Yarrowia lipolytica: one gene and its partners. The protein of the gene in region 4 interacts with the protein of the main gene of each other region in a pairwise test. Links are inferred from orthologs where the notes say so. Each region holds a gene or a part of one and is shown on either strand. Other genes may lie near its edges. The genes, in order: YALI1_B24638g, YALI1_E26788g, YALI1_B25762g and YALI1_E11341g.

What was found.
Region 1: the proteins of YALI1_E11341g (region 4) and YALI1_B24638g interact in a two-hybrid assay, tested with the Schizosaccharomyces pombe proteins (2 studies listed by BioGRID, with this or other methods). The link is inferred for Yarrowia lipolytica from reciprocal best matches to the Schizosaccharomyces pombe genes tfs1 and ecm31.
Region 2: the proteins of YALI1_E11341g (region 4) and YALI1_E26788g interact in a two-hybrid assay, tested with the Schizosaccharomyces pombe proteins (2 studies listed by BioGRID, with this or other methods). The link is inferred for Yarrowia lipolytica from reciprocal best matches to the Schizosaccharomyces pombe genes tfs1 and SPOM_SPAC1F7.10.
Region 3: the proteins of YALI1_E11341g (region 4) and YALI1_B25762g interact in a two-hybrid assay, tested with the Schizosaccharomyces pombe proteins (2 studies listed by BioGRID, with this or other methods). The link is inferred for Yarrowia lipolytica from reciprocal best matches to the Schizosaccharomyces pombe genes tfs1 and yop1.

The regions. Positions count from the first base shown.
Region 1 is NC_090771.1:2,460,447-2,468,165, forward strand, and holds YALI1_B24638g (uncharacterized protein), read right to left. Parts: upstream 3,353-7,719; coding exon 2,411-3,352; downstream 1-2,410. Other genes in the region: YALI1_B24606g (uncharacterized protein), read left to right, coding at 223-1,542; YALI1_B24654g (uncharacterized protein), read left to right, coding at 4,945-5,451; YALI1_B24672g (uncharacterized protein), read left to right, coding at 6,762-7,719.
Region 2 is NC_090774.1:2,675,981-2,683,104, forward strand, and holds YALI1_E26788g (uncharacterized protein), read right to left. Parts: upstream 2,836-7,124; coding exon 2,149-2,835; downstream 1-2,148. Other genes in the region: YALI1_E26742g (uncharacterized protein), read left to right, coding at 1-1,891; YALI1_E26790g (uncharacterized protein), read left to right, coding at 2,996-3,154, 3,197-3,307; YALI1_E26811g (uncharacterized protein), read left to right, coding at 5,183-5,266, 5,707-7,119.
Region 3 is NC_090771.1:2,572,584-2,579,997, reverse strand, and holds YALI1_B25762g (uncharacterized protein), read left to right. Parts: upstream 1-3,401; coding exon 3,402-3,498; intron 3,499-3,739; coding exon 3,740-4,212; downstream 4,213-7,414. Other genes in the region: YALI1_B25798g (uncharacterized protein), read right to left, coding at 1-222; YALI1_B25795g (uncharacterized protein), read left to right, coding at 511-1,698; YALI1_B25744g (uncharacterized protein), read right to left, coding at 4,794-5,603; YALI1_B25734g (uncharacterized protein), read left to right, coding at 6,193-6,338, 6,542-7,414. UniProt on the Schizosaccharomyces pombe protein: Required to generate and maintain the structure of the tubular endoplasmic reticulum network and the vacuole. Induces high curvature in membranes and causes membrane tubule formation. Involved in membrane/vesicle trafficking.
Region 4 is NC_090774.1:1,130,618-1,138,048, reverse strand, and holds YALI1_E11341g (uncharacterized protein), read right to left. Parts: upstream 3,976-7,431; coding exon 3,088-3,975; downstream 1-3,087. Other genes in the region: YALI1_E11370g (uncharacterized protein), read right to left, coding at 1-1,035; YALI1_E11351g (uncharacterized protein), read left to right, coding at 2,228-2,501, 2,953-2,987; YALI1_E11323g (uncharacterized protein), read left to right, coding at 5,717-6,478; YALI1_E11309g (uncharacterized protein), read left to right, coding at 7,151-7,431. UniProt on the Schizosaccharomyces pombe protein: Necessary for efficient RNA polymerase II transcription elongation past template-encoded arresting sites.

The DNA of each region.
Region 1 (7,719 bases), on a different chromosome or scaffold from region 4:
AAGCGCAGGGTAAGCCAGATACCAAATACCGAAAATTATTGGTAAAATTACATTATCTCTATCTGAAATTTCCCTCACTACCCCCTTTTTTTCCAACCCCATCCGACGCGCTATTACTCACTACCCTCTCATGACGTCTGGACCACTCAGTACCGTTACTCCCACACGTGCAGCGTAGATGCACTCCCAAAATTTACCACCAGGATTTCTTTCACCACACACATGAAACTCGGAATCAAGGCGAAAACGGGTCTCGGCCTTGTTGTCGCGTACACAGCGTACTCAACGTATGTGCATTTACGCACCCATTACGAAATCAACGATCGGCTGGACAAGAAACTGAAATCCACCGACTTTGGACTCAGCTCCAACGTTTCTCTTCGAGACGGTATCCCTCCTTCTGTGCAGTTTCGACCCATGGTTGTCGGAGGCAAGTTTGTCAATCCCTTCAGCCAATACCGACACCAGACTCTTTTCGAGTTTGTGTACTGCAACATTGTCAACCTATTCCACTTGACTCCCCGAGGAGGTCTCCCCAAGGACCCCAAAGAGCTCAAGAAGCTGCTCCCCAGTGTGACCCCCGACTTCCAGCTGCTATCCGAGCCCGTCAAGCAGGTCTCTGCTCTGATCCCCTGGAAGCCCAAGTCTTTCATTCCCAAACCGCAGGATCGAATCACCCTCACCTGGATCGGACAGTCCTGTGCGTTTGTGCAGCTTGGAGGACTCAACATTCTCACCGATCCTTTCTTTGGTGACCATCTGGTCACATCGTGGATGGGCCCCCAGCGACTTTCGAAGGCCCCCTGTCAGTTTGAAGACCTGCCCAAGGTCGACATTGTTTTGGTGTCACATGACCATCCCGACCATCTGGAGGTGGACACCGTGAAGAAGATTGGAAACTCAGCTCTGTGGGTCGTGCCTCTGGGTGTGAAGAAATTTCTGGCTAAATACGGCGTCTACAACGTTGCCGAGCTCAACTGGTGGGAAACCATGGGTCTCGAAACCCCGAAATCGCAGGAACTGGGCGAGAAATGGACCGTGGCATGCACTCCAGCCATGCACTGGAGTGGCCGAAAGATGTACGACGCCAACTCGACTCTCTGGGGCTCTTTTATGGTCATGAAGGACGGAAAACCCCACTTTTTCCACGCAGGAGATACTGGATACTCACCAGAGCTGTTCCGAGGAATCAAGGAGGAATACGGACCCGGGTGCAAGCTTGCCATGCTGCCCTGTGGCGCTTACAAGCCCAGATGGCATCTCAAGAGTCAACACATTGACCCCCAGGAGGCCGTTAACGTAATGAAGGATCTGGAGGCCAAGAATATGGTCGGTGTGCACTGGGGAACGTTCATTCTCAGTGACGAGAAGTTCACAGAACCCCGAGACTCGCTGCACAAGATTGCTGAGGACGCTGGGGTCGGCAACTCGGTTCTGGCTCCCAAGTTTGGACAGACACTGGTATTCGATACCGGTGACGGCAAGGGTGGAAGCCATCCTCCTGAGGAGATTAGAGAGGGCAAAGCGCTACTTTTTAGATGAAGAGCGAGCTTACTTGAAGGGTTGTGAGAGAAGTCGCGTGTATTGCCCGTGATTTGATTCAAGAGGAACTTGACTACAGTACACTGTACTCATACTAGTAAGTCAACCGCCTTAGAGGATAGATAGAAGATAACTTATAGATGATAACTGAATGATGTTTAATGTTGATGAGAATTACCCAAAAGAGTGTCCGAAATGTCTCAAGAGTATTGTACTAACAGGTCTGTAGTTCAATCGAGTGTTTTGATACAAGTATACAAGTATTATGATATGAAGATCATACGTTTTTGATGTCGTCCTATAGACACCATACGTATTCCACACGCACCCCACAATCATCTAGGTAACAGTTTCTCCACTACCTCTCCCTGTCACAATAATAAAAGCCGATTCTGTTTTTGTTTTCTATTCTGGTGTCTGTTCTGGTGTTTGTTTTGAGGTTGATCCTGAGTGTCCTTCTTTTACAGTATTGGACCCATGGACTTCTTTAAGGAGTCTTTCAGAACCTCAGAAGACCCGTTGTTTAGCTTAATCGACTCATTACCGAGTCCTCCGGATGTCTTCCGTAGCCTTAACCCTCCCCTTGGTTGCACCAGGTCAATGTCGAGCTCTTTGCGAAAAACAACAACTAAACTGATCCTTCACAAGAGACCATATTTTCTCCAGGTATATCTTCTCCAGGTACAGTAGTACGACCTTGTACGACCTTTTAATTACTAACAGAAGAACAGGCAACTCTAGTCTACTTTACGCCAACCAACTCCTAAACTATCGTATCGTCATTAATATATATACATCATCCTGGGGGGCAGTGAGCAGCTGACCGTGGACAACCACTCACTCACCTATCATATAATCGGCTCGCTCGTTATTTCAGTTTAGCCGCTTCCTCATCACCCATCTTATAACAATGCTCCTGGGCAGGGAACACTCCACCCTTGACCTCCTCATGGTACTGCTTGACAGCTCCAACATTAATATCAAGAAACTGCGAGTACTTTTTGAGAAACTTGGGCGTGAAGCTTCCAAATCCTCCCAGCATATCGAGCATGACCAGCACCTGCCCGGAGGTTCCGGGTCCAGCACCAATACCGATGGTAGGGACCTCTAGCTTCGAACTGAGCCATTCTCCAACCTTGTCGGGAACTGCTTCAAGCACAATAGCAAAACATCCAGCCTTCTGCAGTTCATACGCGTCTTCCAGAATACTCTCTGCTCCAGAGGCAGTCTTACCCTGCACTCTGAATCCTCCCAACGACGACTGACGCTGGGGGGTGAGTCCGATATGTCCCAGAACAGGGATTCCCACCTCGGTCAGTCGCTTGATAGTGGGCGCCAGTTCCTTGCCTCCTTCCATCTTGACAGCCTCCATTCCTCCCTTTTGGATCATCTGAATAGCAGATCGGATAGCTTTCTCTGGGGACTCTTCATACGAACCAAAAGGCAGGTCTGCAACCATAAACGCGCTCTTAACACCTCGAGAAACAGCCTTAGCATGATACACCATTTCCTCGAGCTCGATTTGGTTGGTGTTGGGGTACCCCAGAGCCACCATGGCCAAGGAGTCTCCGACCAGAATCATATCAACACCGGCTTTGTCAGCGATCAGACCGGTCACGTAATCATGGGCCGTTACCATGCTGATCTTCTCCTTGTTTCGTCGCATCTTGGCCAACTCGGGAATAGTGACCTTTTTTCGAGTTTGATCTGATGTCTGAGGAGAGTGATGGGCCGAGTAGGACCGGGCCAAAACTGGTGTGACAGGCCGGGCCGAGCCCAGAACGGGCCTCAGAGTGCGCAAAAGAGACATTTGTGTGCTGGCGTGCTTTCGGGCGCTTTTCGGAACGTGGTTGAACGACTTTTGGACTACTGTGCAAGGGCTTATGTACCAACGGCTAATCTCCAAATTAGACTCCACATTTTTTCAGACCAACAGTTTCGAAACTTTATCCGTGAGTTAAAAAAACCTCCCGAGGGATGTGGGGTAGATGACATATCGATGATAGCGACAGTCGGTCATGGAGGGGTATGCTAAGGGCTCGTGACCAGCTATGACGTCATCAAATACTGGCACGTAGGCACACTCCTGTGCCGCCATCTGCTCCCCTGTATCATATGACCCTCAACACTTTCACAGCAACCGGGAGATACACTACGTAACCTATACACCCACTGCGGCGGTCATACCAAATGTGTGAAGCACACGATACAAGCGACCAACCCGAGCAATACAAGTAGCACAAAGACACAGCCCCCCCAAAAGTCGGCCCTAGATCGCATGACAAATCGCTCACGCGGCCCTATCCCCGCCGCTCATCCGCTTCCACCATGCTTTCACGTTGTTTACACACGTTCCGGTTGTTTTGTCTTTTTTTTTGCCTCCTATTTTCACTCGGCCCTGACTCACGGAATCTTCGCGGTGATGAGCTAAACCCGGACGAAAAAAATCCCCCCGGCGAATAACTCGGGAGGGAGAAATGTGTAGGGAAAACGGATGGCACAGAAATGTGCGCAAAATCAAGATCTCCTTAATAATATAGGTCCCTAAAAAAATATGTACGTGAAAAAAGTTGGTCATAATCTATGATGGAGAGCGCTTTGGACTAAGGTTACGCACTCGGGAGTTGAATGAAGTTGAACCTGATATCCCCCGTAGAGAAATACTATGGTGGGTATAATAGAGATTTATAGATATATAATATGGTATTATTGTATGTCAATAGATAGCTATTGATGAGCAGAATCTACTAGTGTTGTTAGATTCTGTATATCAATAATATTGGGGCCATTATGGACAATAGTATGGAATTTTCAGGCGATTGAAATATAATTCAATTTGATCATACTCTATTCATCTCTCTATTCTTTCTATTAGTACGAGTAGCCGTTTCACACTCCCCACTTATGTAACTATCGAGACACAAAACAACCACACATTGTTGAACGGCTCTTCCCAAATAGGAAGGTCCCAAATACATAGATCAGATGAAATACGCAGCGTCTAGAAGGATATTGCGGTGATTTAGAGGGAAATGAAGTATTTCTTTGGAATCAGCTAACTCAGGGCTTTCGACTGATATAATTTACTTCTGTAATTCTCGTCGAGGGAATATTCTTCAAAATTGACAGTGGAATCAAGTTTGGGTTGTGATTATGTAATCTGATTTTGATGTCTTTATAAACCCGAATAAAAAGTATTCTACTCTATATTTGACATTATACATTTTATAGAATGGAATCCTTTTTATATTGTCAAAAAAATATCCAGCTTGACTCCTCATTTGAGCATTCTATGGCCCAGTTCGAAACTCCACTTCCTCATGTAAGGTTTCGCAAGTGTGACATAATTGACGTTGATAAGACTCCACTCCGCCCATCTTCAACCTACATACACACACCACCATGGCTCCGAAATCTGCAAAACAGGCGTCGCTGAGCTTCAAGAGCACCAAGCCCAGCATCAAGCGGGATTTCAAGGTCGTCAAGCAGCAGCAGCAGCAACACAATGATATCAAGACCAAGGACGTCAAACCGCCAGTACAGATAGAGTCGATTGAAACCACCATCTGTGACGAGCTGGTCAGGGAGGAGGCTGAAAAGATCAATTCTCTGCCGGAATTGGATCCCAGTGAAAAGGTGTACTCGGACGAGGCCCACAAGATCGCCGAAAAGAGCATTGCACCACCCGTGCATCCCGAAGAGGTCAACAACTGCGAAAAGATTCTCAAGAACTTTGACTTTACCGTCGACTTCGGGCCTGTTGTCGGTCTGACCCGGCTGGAACGGTGGGAGAGAGCCAACAAGCTGGGACTCAATCCCCCAGCTGTGGTGAAGAAGATTCTCGAGACCAAACAGGGAGAGACAGAGGATGTCTACAAGCAGTCGTACCTCTATGATCAGCTTGTGTAAGGCACAAGAGGTGCGGAATAATGTGACTGGGTAGCAACTGGAGGGCTAAAACTATGACAGTTTACGTTCACGCTGGGTGTATGTTCTTGCAGTTTACGGATGAGTACTCTTACAACTGTTCGGTTTGAGCCTGCCCTTTAAGAACATTATGGCTCATGGAAGACAGTGGATTGTGAGAACTAGATCTTTGCCAGCAACTGTACTTTGACGCTCGACCTATTTATCAATGTACTACAATTGTAGGTAATTTAACAACGAATGAAGTATTCTATGAATCTGCAGCCACGAGGAAGAGTCCAGAGTAAGGTCGAAAAAAACCAACAGGGCTTTTGAAAGGGAAGAAACACAAGACGATGGTGAATGAGATTTTCATTGGCGGGCCACTTCTTGAGAAGTCAGCATGTCCACAACACAGAAGCATCCTCACAAGATTAGCACTCTCTTCTCCATCATTATTTGATATCCTTAACCGTCTGTTCCCCTCCCTTCAGTATTCCATTTACAACAGCCTCAAGGTCAAATCAGCCTCACATATTTTAATAGTGCATCTCCACCTCTACAATAGAGACCAAGTTGATGTTTTGAGGCCAACCAATGGCGGTCATATGGGGCCAACTGAAGTGTTACATATAATCGACCTTCCAGACTCTTGTTTCTCAATAAAAACAAACAGAAACTAGACGAGCTACTGGTACGATACGTACGGTACAAATACTCACAATGACACCTGCCGAAACCATGATTGTGTGGACTTATGTCAATGAGTACCCGAATGAGACCTCCACCGAGTCTGCTAGACATCTTCTTGCTAGATTCGAAGACCAAACCCATCTTGGGTACCACCGTATCTTGCACGAGATTCGCTACTGGAAGTGTGAGTTCTTTCTGCACCCTTTCTGAACATGTGTAGTGGTCTACAGGTGAAGCGGAGATGTTGTCTTCAGATACCTCGGTTGTTCAGGTACCGTTTTTTTTAATTTTTATAATAACATAATACATTAAACTCTATAGAATATGAGAAGACTACCAGATGTCTCACTGTAGGGTAAGACTTGTGTTGCTGTGACGACTTCACCCCACCAGGTTCTGTGTTACCAGAACAACCCACAAATCCCACACTATTACTGCAGTGAGCTTGTCCAGGTTTCTACTGTCAAACTCAAAATCATTTAGAGTTCGGGAGTGCAGAATGTCCTGATGGTCATGCATTTGTGTCCATGGGTTTGTGTCCGATACTGTAAATCTATAGTGTAAAAAGTGAGTGACCGTGAACTCCACTAACGCGCCAACCACGAAACTGAGTCCTAACAATGATGCCTGCAAGGCCACCAAGCGAGCAGCAAGATGCTCCTGGTGCTCCTCTACAAGGGGTTCCTCTCGAGTGTTTCAATGACGACATCTCAGACTGTGACGACGAAGGAGAGGATATCGAGCCCGACGACGACATCGACCCAGACCACGCGGAGTTGGAAGTTGTTCCTGACCAACCAGAGATTCGTGTTGGGCCCGAGAAGGTCCATAGGGTTGTCAGCGACTACCGAGAACAGATCAGCAATCCACAGCCCGACCTGACCCCTCCGAAACGAGTGGACGACCTAAGGTGTGTTGCGGAGAAGTACGAAGAATTGGAGGGATACCGCCGCGCTGGGGGGCTCACTCAACAGCAAGTCGGCGAGCAGCTCCGCGAATATGCCCTCTCGATCAACGTGCGTTTGCCTAAAAAACCCTCCGATGCCAGGAAGGAAGTCAAGAGGAAGGCAAGGAATTGGCTTGACAAGCAGAGACCTGATAGGGGAGTCGCAAAGAAGCGTTACCATGATCTGGAGGAGGGAGTGATATTTGTGTTTTCCAAGACCACCAAGGTCGCCTCACTCGACATGCACACTGCTACCATTATTGTCAAGAAGCTTCTAGACAAGATAGTGGCCCTGGTGCCTGACTACAGGGAGCTGTGCGGCATGAAAAACCCCGTGCCCCACCGCCATTGGATCAGGGACTGCCTCATTGAGGCAAAGAGACGTCAGCTTCGCGAGTATGGCGAACGAAGCTCTGTGATTGATGAGAAGGCCGTTGAAAAATTGGGGTACATTTGGCTGGCCATCGAGGGCTATGCGGCAAGCCAGATCCTCAATGCAGGCCAGACGTGCATGTACCTGGGCTTCGACGGTCAGGAACACAAAGTCTGGACCAGCCAGCCGTTTGTGGGCGTGAAATGCAAAAAGGGCCAGTTGACTTACACCTTCATGTTCTGCTTGAGTGCTGACGGGT
Region 2 (7,124 bases), about 1.5 Mb from region 4:
GCAGTGCCTCTCTCTGTTCAACCAAACACTCAACACACTTTTGGTTCCTCTTGAAACAAATCAGTTGACTCTGAAGGCAAACTCACTGCTCTGGGACTCCTATATTCGACCCACTCTTGCAATTATGAGCGCCAATACTTCTCTGGCCAACGTGGCCTGTGCCTCTTTGGCGTGCCTCTTGAGATACGACCAAAAGGTCCAGAAGGACAGAGAGCCAGTTTTCAGCACCAGCATTCGTCAGCTCCTCACATCTTTGTCGCCCAGATGGGTCAAGGCCAACTACGACAAAATCATCGACGTTGTCAAAACAATTCCCTTGGATACTTCTGGGCCCAGTTTTCTGGCCGTCTGGTCGGCACTGGTGAACAACATCTCGCACTCTGCCGCCAGGGAAATCCATCCCAGCCCGGAAACGTCTGGCTTTGTCATGTCAGCCTGCAAACTACATCGTCACATGACCTCTAAGACTCCTCTGGACCATAAAGCTTTCTATAGCTCGGTTTTCGCGGTGGCAGGGCTTCCGCACTGCATCGATAAGGTCATTGAAGGTACTACGCCCGCAGCATACATGTTCGAGACACTTGTGGACGCCGAAGAGATCCCCTCCGAGGCGAAGAAGTACCTCCAGTATATCTATTCACAGCTGTCTACCGCTGCTCGACGGTTCCAGTTCACCCAGAGCATAGCCAAGGTCGCCCACAGGCACGAGTCGCTTTACAAGATTGTTCTGGACCACACCGGGGAAGATATCAACGGTCCGGAGATGTCTAATCTGTCTCCCAAGGGGATCTACACCATTCTGGCTTCCCCCAACAGACCTGCGTACCCGGACACATGGTTTTCCATTCTCAAATCGGCTACAGAGATGATTCGGAAGGATGCCTTCCTTGGGTCTACTCAGGAAGTGCTCATTGAACCTCTTCTGCAGATCATTGATGAGTCGCTACAGCCCCAGGTATGTCTTCTCGGTATTGAGCTGATCGACAAGAAGCCTCGAGGAACTTCTTCACCCATGTTCCGATCTCTCACAACCGACATTCCCAAGGACTTCATGCATCTGGGTGCAGTTTCTTCCAAGCTGGCGACACCGGAGATTGTCAACGCCGTCAGAACGTGTCTGAACACTCTACCAGACCATTCCATGCCCTGTTTCTTCTACAGATTTGCGCCTGTCGTGATCCAGGCCATTTCAACTACTCCGGAACAGCACAGGAAGTTTCTGTGCGATAGCATTGTGCGGAAGCTACGGAACGGGCCCATGTTAACAACAAAAGTGTATTTGGACCTGCTTGTCACCCAGATCTTCCCATCTTGGTTCGAGGAGTACCAGGATGAACTAAAGAAGAAACAGGCTCCCTTGGTTGCGTTTTGGAACGAGTTGCTTGGCAACGACACCCAGATCGTTCTGGACGAATCCGTCATGAATATGCTGCTCTTCAAGTTCGTGTCTACTCGCCAGGAGGTGTTCTATCACGGCCAGAAACTTGAGAAGCCCACACGAGCAGGCCGAAAGTCATCATCTAGGAGCGACGCCAGTCCCTCTGTATCTCCCAACATGTCTCCCACTAAACGAAGAACAGATTCGCTGGAGTTTGAAGATGGTCCTCGGCGCAACAAGTCCAGACGACTGTCAGCTTCACCAGTCAAGTCCTCGCCACTTAGAAGATCTTCTCCTCGTCTGCAGGAGCTTGTCAAAGTCGAGTCTCAGATACGAGACGTGGAGGTTGGCCGGTGTGTTGGAGGGTTGGATGATCTGGCACTTCAAACCGATCAGGCTGTTGACCACCTAAGTGAACTCGAAGGTGTGACTGCCAGAGAAATTGAGCAGATTGAATCGACTCTCATTGGAGCTCTTTTCAAGTTGAACCAGCTCAAAAAGAATATTGCATAGACTAAATTAATTATTCATATTAGAGGCTCGATAGTGTTGAGATCTCCACTCTTTCTTCTCAATGAGGTTAGGCTGGTCTAAGTTGTAATACAGGTACCTACTCGTACAAGTGCGTGAAACACATGTGTCACTATTTTTCTGATTACTGATATATTGCTTGCTGCCTGCTGTTTCACTTGATATTAAGGCATAAATAGTACTTGTTTTTTGTTTTTGTTTTTTGCTACCAGGGTAGTTTTCGTAGCTCCGAACTGCGGCTAATCATAGTAGGTTCTCACGAGACCAACGAGAATCTCGCAGCCTGCAACCACTCCATCCACAACCTTGACATGGGGAGCCACCGAGCTGATCACGTCCTCCATGCCTGCCATACCAGCGCACCCCAGACAGATGACCGTGGCCCCCTTGTCTAGAGCCGCCAGGGTGGCCTGTGCGATTCTCTCGTTGACCAGCGAGGTGTCAGCCTGATGCAGTTCCAGCACTCCCAGCCCGGTGCCAAATGTGCCCACAAAGGTGTTTGCAGGCACGTAACGGCCCACAGCCTGATCCAGTACAGGTTCCCACTGACTGCCGGTTGTGACAATGGCAAACTTGCCTGTATCTGGCAGTCCCACGCTCATATTGAGACTGAGAGAGTGCAGAATGGCGGCCTGGAAGATGCCCATAACTGGCCGATTCGTGTGTTCACGAAGAATGTTGACGAGCGCATGGTCGGAAAAACACGCCACCAGGAATCCATCGTGCTGGTCGAGCACTGGAAGTAAAGCTGGAAGACATGCTGCTGCCGACAAGGTGCCTGTGGTGTAGTCGTTGATGGAGTCTGGGCCGGTGGAAGGACAGGTGAAAAACTTGAAGGTGAAGTCGTGGGGCGGGTCAAGAATGTCCTTGAGTCCGTGGGTCACGGACTGCGACGAATTGGGGTTGATGATGAGGATCGAGGGCATTTCAACAAGTCGTACCGAAGGAAAGGGGGCGCCTATTGGAGAAGTGCCGGTTTGGATGTGTGCCTGTTGAATGTGTTTAATATGTGTGTATTGATGCACGGCTGTACGGGGTAAATGCGGAGATGATCAAGGGCCTGATACTGCACCACGGATTATATATATGGTTGGAGCTGGGGTGTCCATCTATCTTTTAGGTCCCACTATACCCCGATACGGGTATTATCAAGAGGTATTATGGCTGGCCGATTATGCTGTGGTTGTTGTCTTTAGACGGGTGTGGGGGGGGGGGGGCTTTGGGCATGTGTCTTTTCCAAGTGCTGTGGTTGGTGTTTTTGGAAAATAAAAGCAGTCGTAGACTCAGAAAACTCGGCAGAACGGAACTGGAAAGTCTGGAGCGTCTGCACCGCTTCCTACACTGAAGTGGTCGGATCCTCCTAATGATCCTCTTCAAATTAGGTACGTTCCACTCTAATCATAAATAAGGGACAGAGATCATCTTCGGAGGCCTTATTGCAGTCTGAATAGGGGGGTCTGCAAGAGTGCTGTGTCGGTGAAAGTGCGGGACGTGGAAAGGTTGGGCGCAAGTAAATAAGTATCGTACGAACAGGAAAATGAGTGGTACGTACAAGTGCCGGTACCAACAAGGCTTTATATATCCGGGACCGTTTATGGAATGCACATATCTCTTCTCTAGGCGTCTTCCCACATGCTCCTCATCGCTCGTACTACTCGTACTCGCAATAGTCGCTGTTGACAATGGGACAATATGACGTCAGGTCAACAATTTTCTTACAAGTACCGCATTTATTGTACCATATTGGGCACACGTGTAGCAAAAATATCGGTGTCGGTTGCTCGGTTCTGCATGGGTGGTGGTAATATCGGTGACCGAATCCGCTCTGCCGATCGCTGCTTAGTCAGATCTGATAACGAGACCCGACATCGAATCACTGCGTGCCCTCCATTCTCCCCATGCGCCACGCTCTGGCGGCTGAAGTTTGACGTTGTCGTACCAAGGAGACGTATGTGGGCGCCCCAATGGCCCATCTGTCGAGCAGTAGCTCGTGGCGAAAGAGGCTCAACAAAAGGCCGGGGGAGTTAGGCTCCGTGGCACGGTGGCGCAATGGGGCTTATTATGGCGTGTGGCTTGACTTTGTGGCTTGTCATATCTGAGCGACATGACGCAATAGCCCGCCGCTACTCCCGTCAGTCCCTACAAAGCGTCGCACTGGCAGTAGCGCCAACTTTCATGCTGGCCCAAATAGAGTGGCAAGTATGACTAGGTTCATGCGGCTGGAGCCTCGGTTGTGGGGATGCGTGTTAATCTGCCAAAAGGGGCATATTGGAATGCCGGGGAGTGGCTGCGGTGATCAGGAGGAGAGCACCGAGTGTTGGTTCGAGGCCGTCAATGGCTGGTATTATCGCCCGCAGTCAGAGCTACACTAATGGCTGAGCTCGTACATGGCCAGTCAGTCTGTCTGTTCTCGGTGGGTAACACTACAGACCAGCTAATGTATGAGCTTATCGGAGTATTACTAAGGCAGTGGGGGGTCGAGGTGTGCCAGAGTACAGCAGCAGGAGCGAGCAGAACGGCCACAAGATACAGTATTGTACGTAGAGTGTGCGAGTCTATTGTATCGTACAACCGAGAAAGACTGAGCAATTGCAACATGGTCGGTCGCCTTTTTTGTGGGGTACTTGTAGACTTTATTTCATGTTTGTTGTTTCGGCTCGCCTTGTCGCGCCGGTTGTTTTCGTCAAATGCCGGTATTGCCCGCCACAACCACTGACTCATTGACAGACAAGCCCCTCTTCGCCATCAGATAGTCGCACTCTGTTGTGTGACGTGAGTCAGCCCCGTGCATAAGCCCTACGTCTGGACCGCTACATTATTTCATAGCACAGCAACAGAGCCGAGTTTAATGGTTTGAAACCTAGGTGGAAGAGGGGCGGGCGAGGTATCGTACTGTGGGTGCGATAGTTCACCAGTCACGCTGGTGGGCCATTCTCTTAGCACATTTCCCCCCTCCCAAGTCCCCTCAACCCCCAATGTAACCCTCAACCTCCCACAGCTCAGTAGCACACGTGCAACTAGTTAGTAACAACCCCCCTCCGTCCAGCTTCTCTTTCACACTGCTTAGAGTTCGGGTGCCAACGTTGCCAAACTACCCTGACGTGCTAACAAAGGAAAGCGTTTTTTACCACCCTCTGCATATATATCCAAGGTTGCTGCACCCCCAAGGACCGATATAACACCAATCTTTTTTTTTTTGCCCAGGCATCCTCACACACTCCACACACACACACACATACACACTCACAAGACACTCACCATACATACATCACCATGACTGGCACCTTACCCAAGTTCGGCGACGGAACCACCATTGTGGTTCTTGGAGCCTCCGGCGACCTCGCTAAGAAGAAGACCGTGAGTATTGAACCAGACTGAGGTCAATTGAAGAGTAGGAGAGTCTGAGAACATTCGACGGACCTGATTGTGCTCTGGACCACTCAATTGACTCGTTGAGAGCCCCAATGGGTCTTGGCTAGCCGAGTCGTTGACTTGTTGACTTGTTGAGCCCAGAACCCCCAACTTTTGCCACCATACACCGCCATCACCATGACACCCAGATGTGCGTGCGTATGTGAGAGTCAATTGTTCCGTGGCAAGGCACAGCTTATTCCACCGTGTTCCTTGCACAGGTGGTCTTTACGCTCTCCCACTCTATCCGAGCAATAAAAGCGGAAAAACAGCAGCAAGTCCCAACAGACTTCTGCTCCGAATAAGGCGTCTAGCAAGTGTGCCCAAAACTCAATTCAAAAATGTCAGAAACCTGATATCAACCCGTCTTCAAAAGCTAACCCCAGTTCCCCGCCCTCTTCGGCCTTTACCGAAACGGCCTGCTGCCCAAAAATGTTGAAATCATCGGCTACGCACGGTCGAAAATGACTCAGGAGGAGTACCACGAGCGAATCAGCCACTACTTCAAGACCCCCGACGACCAGTCCAAGGAGCAGGCCAAGAAGTTCCTTGAGAACACCTGCTACGTCCAGGGCCCTTACGACGGTGCCGAGGGCTACCAGCGACTGAATGAAAAGATTGAGGAGTTTGAGAAGAAGAAGCCCGAGCCCCACTACCGTCTTTTCTACCTGGCTCTGCCCCCCAGCGTCTTCCTTGAGGCTGCCAACGGTCTGAAGAAGTATGTCTACCCCGGCGAGGGCAAGGCCCGAATCATCATCGAGAAGCCCTTTGGCCACGACCTGGCCTCGTCACGAGAGCTCCAGGACGGCCTTGCTCCTCTCTGGAAGGAGTCTGAGATCTTCCGAATCGACCACTACCTCGGAAAGGAGATGGTCAAGAACCTCAACATTCTGCGATTTGGCAACCAGTTCCTGTCCGCCGTGTGGGACAAGAACACCATTTCCAACGTCCAGATCTCCTTCAAGGAGCCCTTTGGCACTGAGGGCCGAGGTGGATACTTCAACGACATTGGAATCATCCGAGACGTTATTCAGAACCATCTGTTGCAGGTTCTGTCCATTCTAGCCATGGAGCGACCCGTCACTTTCGGCGCCGAGGACATTCGAGATGAGAAGGTCAAGGTGCTCCGATGTGTCGACATTCTCAACATTGACGACGTCATTCTCGGCCAGTACGGCCCCTCTGAAGACGGAAAGAAGCCCGGATACACCGATGACGATGGCGTTCCCGATGACTCCCGAGCTGTGACCTTTGCTGCTCTCCATCTCCAGATCCACAACGACAGATGGGAGGGTGTTCCTTTCATCCTCCGAGCCGGTAAGGCTCTGGACGAGGGCAAGGTCGAGATCCGAGTGCAGTTCCGAGACGTGACCAAGGGCGTTGTGGACCATCTGCCTCGAAATGAGCTCGTCATCCGAATCCAGCCCTCCGAGTCCATCTACATGAAGATGAACTCCAAGCTGCCTGGCCTTACTGCCAAGAACATTGTCACCGACCTGGATCTGACCTACAACCGACGATACTCGGACGTGCGAATCCCTGAGGCTTACGAGTCTCTCATTCTGGACTGCCTCAAGGGTGACCACACCAACTTTGTGCGAAACGACGAGCTGGACATTTCCTGGAAGATTTTCACCGATCTGCTGCACAAGATTGACGAGGACAAGAGCATTGTGCCCGAGAAGTACGCCTACGGCTCTCGTGGCCCCGAGCGACTCAAGCAGTGGCTCCGAGACCGAGGCTACGTGCGAAACGGCACCGAGCTGTACCAATGGCCTGTCACCAAGGGCTCCTCGTGAGTATT
Region 3 (7,414 bases), on a different chromosome or scaffold from region 4:
TCCTTGTAGAAGATGCATGATGGGGAAAAATGTGTAATCGGCGAGGTTCTTGGACCAAATCAGGTCTTGTTGCTGTAGGAACGCCCTTAGGTCCTTGAGGCGAGTGTAGATGGCATCTTGCTTCTGTAGTCGTTGTTTTGGCGGTAACAGAACTTCCTTGGATAGCGCCACTGTGAGTGGTTGTAGTTGGCTGAATTGCTGTTTCCGTAGCGCCTCGTCCATGGTCAATAAATAATTTAATTGGTTATCGATTGTAATGCTTGCATGTCAGATTGAATTCAAACCCCGGTTAGGGTTGCAGCATGGGTGTCCCAAAGAGCTTTGTTGTTAGGCATAGTGAAGAAAGTCAAAGTGGGAGTGTGGCCCTGACTCTATACTCCACAGTTGCAAGACATACATACACTCTCCCCCACGATCCTTGGCACTCTCTTTTTCTCACTCTCTTTTTTTTGTCCTCCTATTAACCAAAAAAAAAAAAAAAAAAACCTCTTTCTTTCGCCAGCTAATGCCATGGGATACGACCAGCTTCCCGTGAGTGTTCCCGATCGACAACCTCCCCCGTACTCCTCTCCATTTTCCCTAACACAGCACTTTCCCACTCCCCAGGAGACCTTCAGCTCGGTCCCACAACCCCCACCTTCGTATAGACACGGACCTCCGCCACCGCAACAACAGAGACAGCAGATGTACACCGGCTACAACAATCCCCGTGGCGGTAACGACGACCTTCCCCATTTCCCCACCCCTGGGGAGACTTTCTCGGACGCTCCCCCTCCACCTCCCCAGCAGCAGCAGTATGGACGGCCTCCTCCTGGCGGCCCCAACCGTCATCAGGCTCCCAGAAAGCCCTCGGGCGGCAGCCATAGCAACCAGGGCCACAACAACAGCTACAATAACAACTCCAACTACAACAACAACTACAACCAGGGAGGGTCAGGAGGTTCGAGCGGTGGCCCTGGCGGCTACAACAACAACTTTGCCCCTCCACCACCACCTCAAGGACAGCCGCTACGACCCAGCCCACGGTCTCACAACCAGCAGCTGCAACAGCCTCCGCCCATGCATCAGGCCGGAGGACCCAGCGGAAATAACAGACCTCCTCCCAGTCGCCACAACAACAGCAACAGCAACAGCGGTGGCACAAAGCCAGGAACACAGTCGCCTATTCCATACGCTCCTTTACCTGATGTGAATCTCAAGATGCTGTTCAACGGCGTGGACAAGAACAACAATGGCCGGCTTTCGGAAAAGGAGCTGGGCAACGCTCTTGTCAACGGGGACTTTACAAAGTTCAATATGGAGACGGTGAGAGTCATGATCAAGATGTTCGACCGGTCCGGCAATGGAACCATCGAATTCAAGGAGTTTTGCAACCTGTGGCGTTACTTGGGCGACTGGCGCAAGCTGTTTGACAAGTTTGATCTGGACAAGAGCGGATCCATCTCGTACGACGAGTACGTGCGAGCCCTGGAGGCATTTGGATACCGTCTGTCTAACAGTTTCATCCAGTTCATGTACAGCAAGTACTCAGACTTCAACAGCTCTGGTGAGCGAGTCATTGGCTTTGACTTGTTTGTCCAGAGCTGTATTTCGCTAAAAAGGATGACAGACTCGTTTGTCCAGTATGACACGGATCACACGGGCTACGTCAACCTGTCTTTTGAGCAGTTTCTGATGGAAATAATGAAACTCAAGTAACTAAAGCAATGTATATTAGGTGGTTTTTACGGTCTTCTGTTGTGCCTGTATTTCTGAATGCTCCCCCCTGTCATATTCCATTTTTACTGGCAAGTGGGGTGGGGAAATTGAGTTAGGTTGCGAGGTACGATGTAAGCGAATCTGCATGACAACTTTGATTGTGTGAGAGAGACATGGCGACGATTTGAATGTATATATCCGTCCTCTTTCAGCCGTCTGTCCGACCTTGCTTTACCTCTAGTTATATATATATTTTTTCTCCATTAGCTTGCGTCTCTTTTTTTTTCCCGCCAAAGATCGACGCTAGTTGTCTCCCCAATTTAGAGCCGTTTGTTTGGACATCCAAGCAGCGAATGTCCCAATTCCACTGTGGATGTGCTGCAACCATATCAGATGATTGTAAATTCTATGGGTATCAGAGTTCGCGGGCACTTTGTGCACGAGTGAGGGGTCGTAGAAGGGGCGCGTTTGGGTGTGAAAAATAGATATTCGGGCAGTGTTGTTTCGGTAGCACTTTTCGCCGTCTCTCTAAGTCCACCCAATCGCCTACAATAGCTCTCTTTTTAGGTCTCGTGATAACCTACTTAAGCTAATAAGAATTAGGAACCGTTGATCAAAGGTTGGTCAGTGGGTCCCAGAGTGTCCTCCACAGTCTGTGCTGTGGTTTTTTTACGAGGACCATGAGGTCACGTGCGGGCCACTAGAAGGAAATCAAATGATTTCATCTAACTCATGGTCCTGTGACTCTACGTCTGGTTCCTCATCGGTCTCATATTTGCAGTTGCTATGAGCGTTTCCCGGGCGCAAGTCAGGTTCGCAAAAGTTTCTATTTTAAGATCCACGGAGCCCAACGTTCGACTTGCAGTTGTGTATGTTGAATAACGTATATGGTGGAGTGTGGTACGAGTTGTACTACAAGTAGTAACTGGTGTTTGGGGGGTTACAGTCAAGAGGTCGCGTTCTCATGTGAAAGTCACGTGACTGTTTTGGATCTCGACACTACAATATCCGAGTGTTTCTATCCACAAGTATGAATTCTCACGTGTTTTATGTTCTACAGTCTTCTGTTGTCACAATAGCCGCACGCATGTTCCAGAAATAGATTGTGTATGTACCGTACGAGTTGCGCGAGATAGTGTACGATGAGGACAGGTGTCGACTTTATACGACTCGTCACCCGTCGCACAGGTACGGTAGGCTACGCCTTGTTTTACTACTTCATCCCAATGTACAGATGTGTACAGTTATCGTAAAAAACCACATACCCGTACATGCTGTAACGACAAATATTACCACGTCAACATGTACGCACCAGTATGTATTACAGGTATGTACAATCGTTTCATAATATGAGAAGTTTGAACCTCTGATAGCATCGTAATAACGCATAGATAAGTGCGCTCTATACCACATACCGGGGCAAGGTTATCACGTGACTCTTCCAGGTGAGTGTATGTATCACGTGTTTCACGTGACTTTCTACTGTCGTGCACCTCGCTCACACGACCTCGGCTGCATCTCTGACAGACTAATCGCATCTCATTGTCCAGCCAAACAGAGTTTTGGACCTTCCCCCTCTCTTTGTTCTAGACACCCCTTAGAGTCTTCTCACCGCCCACTTACCCTACCGAACCATGTGCGTCGACCTTCTTCTGTCCAGTCTGCAACTTTCATTTTCCACGTAACCACCGACGATATTCAACATGTCTCAAATCATTGATCAGGTTCAGGCCGCTCTTCAGAACATTGACAAGGAGCTCGAGAAGTACCCTGCTCTCAAGGAGCTGGAGAAGCAGATTCGTGAGTATTGCAATCAATGCGATCTTTGTGATCGGATTGGAACGTGTTAGCAGTGTTACATGTTACACAGACAGCTGCGATGAGCAGCTGATAACCGACAGGAGTGCACAGAAACAATTCAGATAATTTCCCATTACTCCCCAAAACTGCTGTTATGCAAAGACAGGTGCAACTGTCAATAGTGCCTGTGATTAGTTTCATGTGATCACCACAGTGCCTCCCCAACCACAACTAACAATAGCCGTCCCCAAGTCCTACATCCTGCTTGGCTTCGTTGGATTCTACTTCATCCTCATCTTCCTCAACATTGGAGGAATTGGTCAGCTTCTGTCCAACATTGCTGGTCTGGTCATCCCCGGCTACTACTCTCTGCTGGCTCTGGAGACCCCCGGCAAGGCCGATGACACTCAGTACCTGACCTACTGGGTTGTCTTCGCCACCCTCAACGTCTTTGAGTTCTGGTCCAAGGCCATCCTTTACTGGGTGCCCTTCTACTACCTCTTCAAGACCGCCTTCCTTCTGTACATTGGTCTCCCCCAGTACGGAGGTGCCGAGCTTGTCTACAAGGCCATTGTCAAGCCCCTCGCTCAGAAGCTTGTCAACATCCAGCCTCACGGCGGACCTTCCGACTCTCTCAAGGCCCAGGCCCAGTCTGCTGTCGATGCTGCTGAGAGCCACGTCCCCCAGGGTCACTCCACTGGTGTTTCTCACTAAGCCGAAATAGCCAAAGGATTATAGACTGGTATGTCGTAGAGCTGAAGCATTTTAGGGCTGAGAAGCCATTGTAGCTGAGAATATGTACAGTACATGGTCACAAGTGCAACTAAAGTACATACTGTAATGTCGATAGGTAGATAGAGCCCAATTGCGATTGTAGCCGCGGAATAAGCACTTGCTACAAGTGCTCTTAGTATGTACATAATTAACGGGTGTACTGGTTCATTAAACGATTTTAAACAGTATGCTGTTGCCAGGACTACCTGTAGCATCAGTGGGTTATTCAAGATCCTCTGAGCGAGTTGTTTTGTATCAATAGCTACTATATGAGTGTTACATAGTACGTACCAGTGCTTCAAGTACAGCCCCTAGTGATTCCTACTGTACTTTGATTCGTTCACTTCTTTTTTCTTATTGGGTGTAACAGGCACGCTTGGTACTCTCGCTGGACAGTTTAATACGCACAGGGTCCCGCAAGTGGGCAATGACATCAGTGGATCCCTACTTCTATGATCGATTAATTTCTTTATTACAGTCGCTGGCCTTTGCATTGCTCGGGCTCGCTCTCTTATGTACATTTAAGCCTTAATAGCCTTGGGTTCTCGGAAAATGTCTCCCTTGTCGTGCATGGACTGGATGACAACTCGCTCATCAGACATGTCAGGGTCGGGCAGAGGGATATCAATGGGGGACTCGAACACGGTTCCGGCCAGCAGGCACTTGGCGGGCGAGTACGTGTTGTCGTAGACACAGCCAATGTACTCGGTGGACTTCTTAGTGGTGGTCTTGACCTCATCAGATCGTCGCTGGGACCGAAGAATTTTCTGGGTCATGTCAAATCGATAGATGATGAGAGTGATACCAGGGGCGTGGTTGGGCAGGGGCAGGTAGGTGAAGTTGACCACCTTGGGGACCTTGGAAAACTCAATGGGGCCGTACTGGAACTTGACGTCGTCGGGGAGAGTCTTGGATCGCTCGACAAGAGCCTTCTTGACCCAGGTGTTCATCTTGTCATCAACAGACTCAAGCTCTCGAGCAGCAAAGGCCTTGTTGACGGCAATGTAGTTGAGAATAGCGTCGTTCTTCCACTCTGTGAAACGGGGCTTCTTCTTGGTCTTGAGACGGTACTGTGCCACGTTGAATGTGTTAACAACAAAGGCGTACATTCGTCGGTAGAAGTGCTTCACCAGACCCTTTGGGTTGGTCCAGGGGGCATGGGACAGGGGGATAATGGGCTCATTCATGATACCAATGTGCTTGAGCTCAAGACGCTGGCTCTTGGAGGCGTTGTTTGATGCAAATCGCACGGGGGCGTATGTGGCTCGCAGGTGGCCGGCCATGTTGAACGGCCGGACCACCAGCCGTCTGGAGGCCATATTATGGATCATTTGTGTGGATGGTAATTAAAGCGAGCCTCGAGGATTATGTATGATCTGAAAATATGTCGGTTGGGACTTGTAGGTTCGATTCCTGTGTGTGGTGGATTGATGGTCGTGAAAAAGCAACACGTGTCGTTGAGAGTGGAGTGTTTGTATTGGTGTTGATAACCAATGACTTAGAATGGAAATGACATCTTCCCTTGTAGATTACATGTCGTACCCATGGTACAACTACTTTTACTATCATTTATACTCGCCGATCCCTCATTACAGCTACAAGTACCGATACAAGCAACCAGGATATTCACACTATGAGAGGTACAACGGTGGCATATAGGGAGGTGGAGAGGTGATAATATATAGTGAAAACACTACAAATACTGCTACAGTCGACCCAGAGGCTCCCATATCACTCCATATCGATATACCAGAAGAAAAGTCACGTGATGCCACCACTTACATTCCTACCAACATCCATTCACACCCCCAGTCTCATTAAACCTCGGCCCTATGACTTGGTCACGTCACGTTCAGTTTGAGTTTAGCGGGGTGATGATAAATCTCTGGCACTCTACACACGACAGACTTGTCTTTTACCATGCTTCAGTCGCTCAACCGAAACAAGAAACGGCTGGCCGTGTCGACCGGCCTCATCGCCGTGGCCTACGTGGTCATAAGCTATACCACAAAGCGGCTCATCGAGAAGCAGGAACAGAAGCTCGAAGAGGAGCGTGCTAAGGAGAGGTGAGTACACAAACACAGAGGAGCTAGGGGCACGACAGACAGAAGAATGGACACAAGCGAAACAGAGATGTGGCTAATGACATGACCAGAAGTGGTTGCCAAACGAAACGTGTTCGCAGCTTGTGTATCGGCCCCACTTACGCCATATCATTACTTCATGCATATATTGGTGTGTTATGTGGGGTATACCAGTACTAACACAGACTCAAACAACTGTTTGCACAGACACAGAATGAGGCAGCGTTCCATACGGCGTCAGTGCTTCCCCAGCTATGCGAACAAATCATGGAGTTTGTGGCTGTCGAGAAGATCGCCGAACAGCTCCAGAACATGCGTGCGGAGAAGCGCAAGAAACAGAACATGGACGACGACAAGCACTCGGTGCTGTCGCTAGGCACAGAGACGACGGCCAGCATGGCAGACGGCCAGAAAATGAGCAAGATTCAGCTGTGGGACGAGCTCAAGATTGAGTCGCTCACCCGAATCGTCACTCTCATTTACTGCGTGTCTCTGCTCAACTACCTCATCCGACTGCAGACGAACATTGTGGGACGAAAGCGATACCAGAACGAGGCTGGACCTGCGGGAGCCACATACGACATGTCACTGGAACAATGTTACACGTGGCTGCTCACCCGAGGATGGAAGTCGGTGGTGGATAATGTGCGACGGTCAGTTCAACAGGTTTTTACTGGCGTCAACCCGCGGCAGAACCTGTCTCTTGACGAGTTTGCTACTCTTCTCAAGCGTGTACAGACTCTCGTCAACTCCCCACCCTACTCCACCACCCCTAATACGTTCCTTACATCGCTCCTGCCACCTAGAGAACTGGAGCAGCTGAGGCTCGAAAAAGAAAAGCAAAGTCTGTCACCCAACTACACTTACGGCTCGCCTCTCAAGGATCTCGTATTTGAGTCAGCTCAACACATTCAGTCGCCACAGGGAATGTCATCTTTCCGAGCCATCATTGACCAGAGCTTCAAGGTCTTTCTGGAAAAGGTGAACGAGAGCCAGTACGTCAACCCACCGTCCACAGGCGGAAAGCGTATTGCTGTGGGCGCGCTACAGCCTCCCAT
Region 4 (7,431 bases):
TCGAAGAATGAATGTCTTCTTGCCATCGAAACCCATGGTCGACTTCTCCACAGTTCCTCCCTTGCCTACCAGTTCTACTTGTCGGTTGTACTCGGCCTCAATGGCGGCTTCGATGGAAGAGGTGTTGGGCAGGTTTTTGATCTCGCACCGCTCTCCGTCTTCTCCAATGGACACGTTGACATCCACTCTCATGGCACCTGACTCAAATTCTCCAGTGGACACACCAATGCGTTTTAGCAGGGTCTGGAGCTTTTTGACAAAGGCAGCGGCATGCGAGGCGGTATGAATGACGGGCGCTGTGACAATTTCGATAAGAGGCATGTTAGTTCGGTTGAGATCCACCAGGGTCTCTGATCCGTGGTAAGTGGACTTTCCAGTATCCTGCTCAAGCTGAATCTGAAGAATAGGAACGTCGATAGATCGAGATGCCAGATCGCGTGTGTCTGCTGAGTCAGTGTTGGCCTCCTTAGCGAGTAGGGCAGGCCATTCATTCTGACTGTACAGATCCCACCAATTGAGCTTCAGCTTTCCGTTGATGGCGAGCGGCTTTCGATGTTGAGTGATCTGGTAGCCTGCGGGCTGGTCCGGGTAGAAGTAATGCTTTCGGTCGAAGGCAGTGAGCTCCTTGACATCACATCTCAGAGCAATGGCCGCCTTGAGCGCCAGAAGCAGAGCCTGGGGATTCAATCGCGGCTGTGTTCCGGGAAGAGCTGCGTCGAAGTAGCTGACTTTTGTGTTGGGCGTGGTTGACAACGAAGGTACTGTGGTGGAAGAAAACAGTTTTCGTTTGGTGAGCAGCTGTGTGTGGATCTCGAGGCCGACAACCAGCTTGGGAGCAGTCGAGGTGGCGTAGGTACGGGATTTAGTCACGTGAGTGACACGCGCGACGATTTTGGTGTCACGTGATATTCGGAGCATGTCTTTTTTTCGGGCTGATGATCGACCGCTGTGGGGTGGTGGTGGTGATTGTGGGAACGTTGTGATTGAGTTGCTCACCCAAGGTTGAAGGTGTAAATTAGGTGCAGCTCCCTGCATGATGTTGCGATTGGGGGAAATGGCAGAGTTGATAAAATGTGTCCTGGATGTGACTATCGGTGAGAGGGTAATTAATATTGTTTTATTGAGTATGGAGAGGTAGAAGGAGACGGTTGTGAGTGAATTGCAGTTATTCTCCGCGTGTTTAAGAGTGTCGTAGAGAGTTGAGCAATGATTGTTGTTCAGTTAGTTGAAAGAGAAGTGTATATTTGTTAAAGATATCGGAGAGACATACAGATAGTTGAAATAAACCAGTTGAACAAAAGATTCTAGTAAACAATCATGTCAACGGATATCTTACCCCTGTCACTATATTGCAACTTCTCTTGATCCTGTTTCACTCTATATGACTAATACTTGCCTACAGTGTGTCCAGTCTCACCAAGGCTGCAATACCCACCATACCACGTCTACTATATGCCGCACAGTCTATAATAGCAATCTGAATGAATACTTAGCAGCATCGGGAATCTGATCCGTAGTTCAATGTCTATAAGTATTCGGAAATGGCAAGTACATGCTACTTTATGCCGACACTGATATTGATTCGACCCATAGTATAGCCAGTAGAGGTCTCAGAAAGACTTGGAAAATGTCAGGGAGTTTCTGAAGAGCTATATGATGTCCTATTAGTTGTATAAATTGATTCGAATAGTTTCAATTCCTTCTGACAAACACTAGATAGGTGTATTTGTTGGACATTAGCAGCAGCATGTACATAGTAGACCAACTTCTCTATTGCTAAGAGATCTTGCACCTTACTGAATTACCTATAATTTTTCACCTCAGATGAATCTGAATGTATAGAGCTATTTGCTCAACTCTGCGACACTCTTCCTCCTTCGTGTCGTGTGGGACGGGCGATACTCGACCGCCCCCATTGAACTCAAGATGAGAAACGAGATAACCAGATGAAGACATACACACTCCCAAATACAAGGGCTTGGGTGACCCTGAAACTGTTTCAAACCAATCTATACACTATCTGACACTCTCCAACATCCAAACTCCGCACTCATCTCATCTCAAGCAGCTACTTTATGCCGTCAAGGTGAGCAGGTCGTATCGCTTTAATCGATACAAGACAGTCGCTATGACTCTAAGGAATGTCCAAATTTTCCCAGGCCCTATATAAACCACCCCCAGACCCTCTTTACTCTCCATCAAACAAGTATTCTTCACACCCACTACAATGCAGATCAAGAACCTCGCCCTCCTCTCCATGGCCGCTCTTGCCGTCGCCGCCCCCATGAACGACCAGGCTGAATCCCCCGAGGACATCCACCAGTTCAAGGATAAGATCCACTCCAAGAAGTGCCCCCAGAAGGAGTGCCCCAAGTCCACCACTATTATCACCACCCACTACACCACCATCACCGGTACCATCGCCATCGATGCCAAGCCCTGTGCTCCTACTCCTACCCAGAAGAAGCACTGCCCCAAGTGCGGTGACCCCAACTGTGGTGGTTGCTAATGGGTTTCCGATCATCTACAATCGAACCCCAGGGATCCTCTAGAGTATTATCAGTACTATGTAGACGTTTTATAACTCTCTCAAAACAATACATTTTTGACCAACCCCAAGCTCCAGTAGTTCTTGATACGCCTCCTAATCTCAACTACTTTTTAACTAAATTGTATTTCATAATCAACTAATAGTTGGGTGTTTTCCACTCATCAACCAGCACAAGTACAACAGGATACTGTCCATCAAATGCGGTATTTGTTTGTGTTACAGAGTACATACGGTAGTTGTAGTGAATATCGCGTGCCAGAGCACAAATATACAGGTAGACCATCTGAAACTATTACACACACTGCCACTGGTAAAACACTCAACCTCCAATCAGTGTATCCTAACACCTAACAATACATAACCTATCTAACTATATACACTCCCCTTTTGCGAATTCACAGAACTCGATTGCGAAGATAGCCAGTCACAGACATAGCTCTTCTGTCTAGCACTCCAAAAGCACTCCAATATGGACACACTCCTCCGTCCACTCCCCCATGGCACAGGCGACCCACGTCATCGCCACCAACGGCAGCTTAGGAGAATTTCCACCTCGTACCACAGTTCTCGCACGTGCAAAACGTGGTCAACGGCTCATCTGCAGATCTCGTCTGCATCTGGTAGTAACTGACCTTCTTCTGCTTGCACTTGCCGCATGTGAATCGGTCCGTCACGGCTCTCTGTTCCGTGGCTCCTCGAGCAGCAAACAGGTTCTGCTTCTCCATCTCCTCAATCTCCTTCTTGAGCTCGTCGGACGCCATTTCCTGGGGCGACATTCGGCACAGTCGTTCGGCCGAAATTTTGCCCGAAATGACGTTGCCTCGCAGACCGGGGTTCTTTGGGTCCTTGAGGTTGATGTACAGAGATCGCATCTTGGGGCGGTAGTTGCCGCCGGTGCCGTTCTCCATCTTGTACACCTCATTCTCAATGGCCTTGGCGCAGGCGAGCACCTCATTGGGGTGCGCAGTCATGCCGACAGCCAGCGCAGTGTAGGTTACATCGATGCACCGGTTTCGCACCTTGTCCGAGTAGATTTCTGTAGACACACCGTCCTTGGCCGGGGTTCGTTGGCCCGAAGGAGGCGTATACGAAGTGGCGTTACCAGAAGACGCAGAGCTGGACTTGACCGGTCGGCTCTCCTCCTTGGTCTCCTTCTTGCCCTCTACCTTCTTGGACGCGTCTCTCTTCTGGGCCGTCACCGTGTCCTTCCACGACTTGATCATCTTCTTGACCAGGTCCGAGATCCGGCTGTCGCTGGAGGTTCGCAGCTTGTTGACGGCAATACCCAGCTTGGTCTCTCGCAGCAGCTTCTCCGTAGGCTCCACCTCCTTGTGCAACACCTGCAGAATGTCGTATACCGCCTCGCCGCTGGCCTTTTCCAGGTCAGCCATCAGCTTTTTGATTTCCGCAACACTGAGTCCCATGATGGTAGTGATGTGATGATGACTTTACAGAGATGATGTCTCGACCGAGTGCTGAATTGTTCGCGTGAGACTGCTTCCAATGTGAAACTTTATTTTTGCCCGAGACGAAATTTTGGCACAGCAATATGCACGGTGATATTACTATGGTGGAGGTGGTTGGAGGTGGTTGGAGATTGGGCCAGAGACGTATATATCCGGCATTTTCAGGTTAAGAGCCTGTTTGTGGATTGTAAGGGCGTGCGGTGGGTACGACGACCCCATAATTACCCTGGGTAGCTCTCAGCATGCGCAGACTTCACACTTGCTACTGGACGCCCTATCTTGTAGGACTACCGGTACTTGGGTACATCGGCGTAATCAATTTAAACGGACTTAACCTACAGTACAGGTTATGAGCGAACTCAGGTGAGACTTGTAGATCTTTGGCGCAGATAAGTTGTTGATCACTGTCAGGAGAGTCCTGGGCGTATTGACGACGGCCTAATGAGCAAAGGAGTGTGTGTCACGTGAGCAAATGAGTCTGACGACAAGCTTCGAAAGTTATCTTGTCGATATATCTCCGGGTGCTGCTGTTGCGTTGCACAGTCTAAACCGGCAACGCATGTCAACTGAGCTTCAAGTCGACAGACAAACGTTTCCAAAAAACCAACAAAAAAACGTCTCCAAAAAACCAAAGAAAAACGTTTCTAAAAAACCAACAACAAAAAACATCATCTGAGCGAGTTCTGATTCGAAATTTGACCGCACTACTCCACCTTTAAGTACTCAGTGTATCCTCAAGCGTTGCCATGTCCTTCGGAAGCCATGTACTTTGCCATCCCAACTAAATTACTTACGAGTACTTAGTACAAGTACAGTTCAGTACTGTACAGTACATACTGCAGTCGTCCTCGCACTGTCTCAAGTAAACATCATATCATGGATAAGGGAAAATATAAAATACTCAACTTCGAGTGCAGAGTTCTGATACTTCAACAACACAATTAAACAGTCCCAAATTGCCAAATAAATCAACCAAAACACTTATTTCCATACCAACACACACATTATTCGCCCTTATATAACTCCCCCACCCATGCTGCCAGCACTCGAAACAAGGTTCCTTGTTAGCAACAACAACGTCACATTAGAATCCTCATTTTTGATAAAATTACTCTGAAAATTTGATATAAACACTCCAGAACTATCTTCAACCACACAGAAGCCACTTGACTTCGAATCATCAGCTTCTCTCCTCTTCTTCTCTTCTTCTCCAAGTTCCACTTGCTCCAAACTTTCATCACAACAAAGTTCCAATCTGCATACATTTCAGTCTACTCATCTACCGCTGAAACTTCCACCTTGAACATCAACACCAGTCTTCGATTGTCACACGGAAACCCACCACGTGACTGTATTTCGACCCTACTACTCCTTGCATTTCCACCACGTGACTCAACACGCCGTTTGCCAACGTGCTTATACGCCCACCTACTTATTCAACGTCGCAAACTTGTCACAGACATAAAATCATCAGTTGTTCCGACTTGAACAGTACGTGACCGACCCACCAGCCACACAGTCGTCGTCTTGTCAAGTGCCCGACTCCCCCCACGTTCTCCGATTCTCGATCACCTGCATTTCCAATCGAGTTACCCAGCCGACATCTTAGTCAGACATCCAGAAAACCTCGTGACACATCTCGTGACTGCACCCAAGCACCCACCCGCAAAGTCACCATCAGCACACTCACTACTTCACAATGACCGATCGAGTAGTTTACGTTGGATCTATTCCCTACGATCAGACAGAGGAGCAAATGCTGGACATTTTCAAATCTGTGGGACCGGTCATTTCCCTAAAGCTCATGTTCGATAAAGAAACCGGCCGTTCAAAGGGCTACGGATTCGCAGAATACCCCGATGCAGACACTGCCCGATCGGCTATTAGAAACCTGAATGGATTTCAGGTGGGCTCGAGACAATTGCGAGTGGATCATTCTCATGAGGGACAAGTCCGAGAGTTCTTTGCGTCTCAGAACCGATTTCCCAACCCCAATGTGTCTAAAAACGGACGTCCTGGCCTGCCAGCGGGAGTTCCTCTTCGGCAGGGTCTGGAACCTGCTCAGCAGGTGTCCGAGACTATGAACGGGTACACAAAGAGCCAGATGGTTGCCGTGGTGACAGACCTGATGAGCATGAGCAAAAACTCGCCTCAGCTCCTGGCGGACTTGTTTGCTCAGGCGCCCCAGTTGGCTTACGCTGCTGTCCAATGTCTTTTGAACCTGGGTCTGGTGGACGAACAGCGGGTGTTGAGTGTTGTCAGAGGCAACCCTGCCCTCATTGCTGGCGGCAACCCCCCATCTGCTCCTGCCCAGTCCACACCCGATCCTGTGGCTGGCAATGCTGCTCTTATTCAGCAGGTGATGGCTCTCAGTGAAGCCGATATCAACGCCCTGGCCCCCGAGCACCAGAGAAGTATCCGAGAGCTCAGAGACCGAATCCAGCGAGGTGAGGTTATTTAGCAAGAGCCGAGTGAAACACGACCAGATAGATTAATGAAATGTACTGTATATTGCATAACAACGAGCAATTACTGTAGTTTGATAAGTGTGGATGTGAGGTGGAATAGTGCCATTTTACTGGTCGCAGAATTCGAAGTACTGCAGCGTAGGTGTCCATGGTGTGTGTCAGTATACGACTTGTGTGATCTCAACGATACTCTCCCTACCGTACTAGAGATCCCCTAAATAGAACGTACTGTATGGATCACTCTTAGCAGTATTGATTGAGAGAGAACAGTCACCGTACATTAATTCATCAATACTATCCAGACATTTCATCGCAATTCTCTGCCCGATCCGATCTAAACATGACTCGTACTCTCGAGGTTGTCTGTTTTGGACTTGAACGGCTCCAACATTTCCAGATTCGAATTGACATGGATCTTTTTGGTTCTGTCTTCTCTATCGAAGAATTTTCATCAGAATGACATCAACATGTAAATATTCGTACCAATCACCCGTTTTTCTCCCCCTGTCCATCTCCTCTGTCTCCCCATAATAACCCTATTGTTCACTAACTTCTGCAGGCCAACCTACCTCTTTTCTTACATCACCACATTCTCCTGCACAACTTTGGAGCAGACGATCCAACATACGCCCCACGGCAGCAATCACTAATCCGAAAAGTGCAAAATGGACAGAAACACGCCGCAACCGCCATCGCGGACACTTTTTGTCGGTAACTTTCCGTTTGAAATGACCGAGCCAGAGGTTCGAGACATGCTGGGACGACATGGCACAGTGGTGGGCTTCCGTCTGGTCACCGAACGAGGCCCAGCAGACAACCGACGATCAAAAGGATATGGATTTGTTGAGTACTCGTCGATACCCGAGGCCGAACGAGCTCTGGAGTCTCTCAGAGACGTGCGAATCGGTCAACGTCAGATCCGAACAGCCTTCACACAAGACATGCA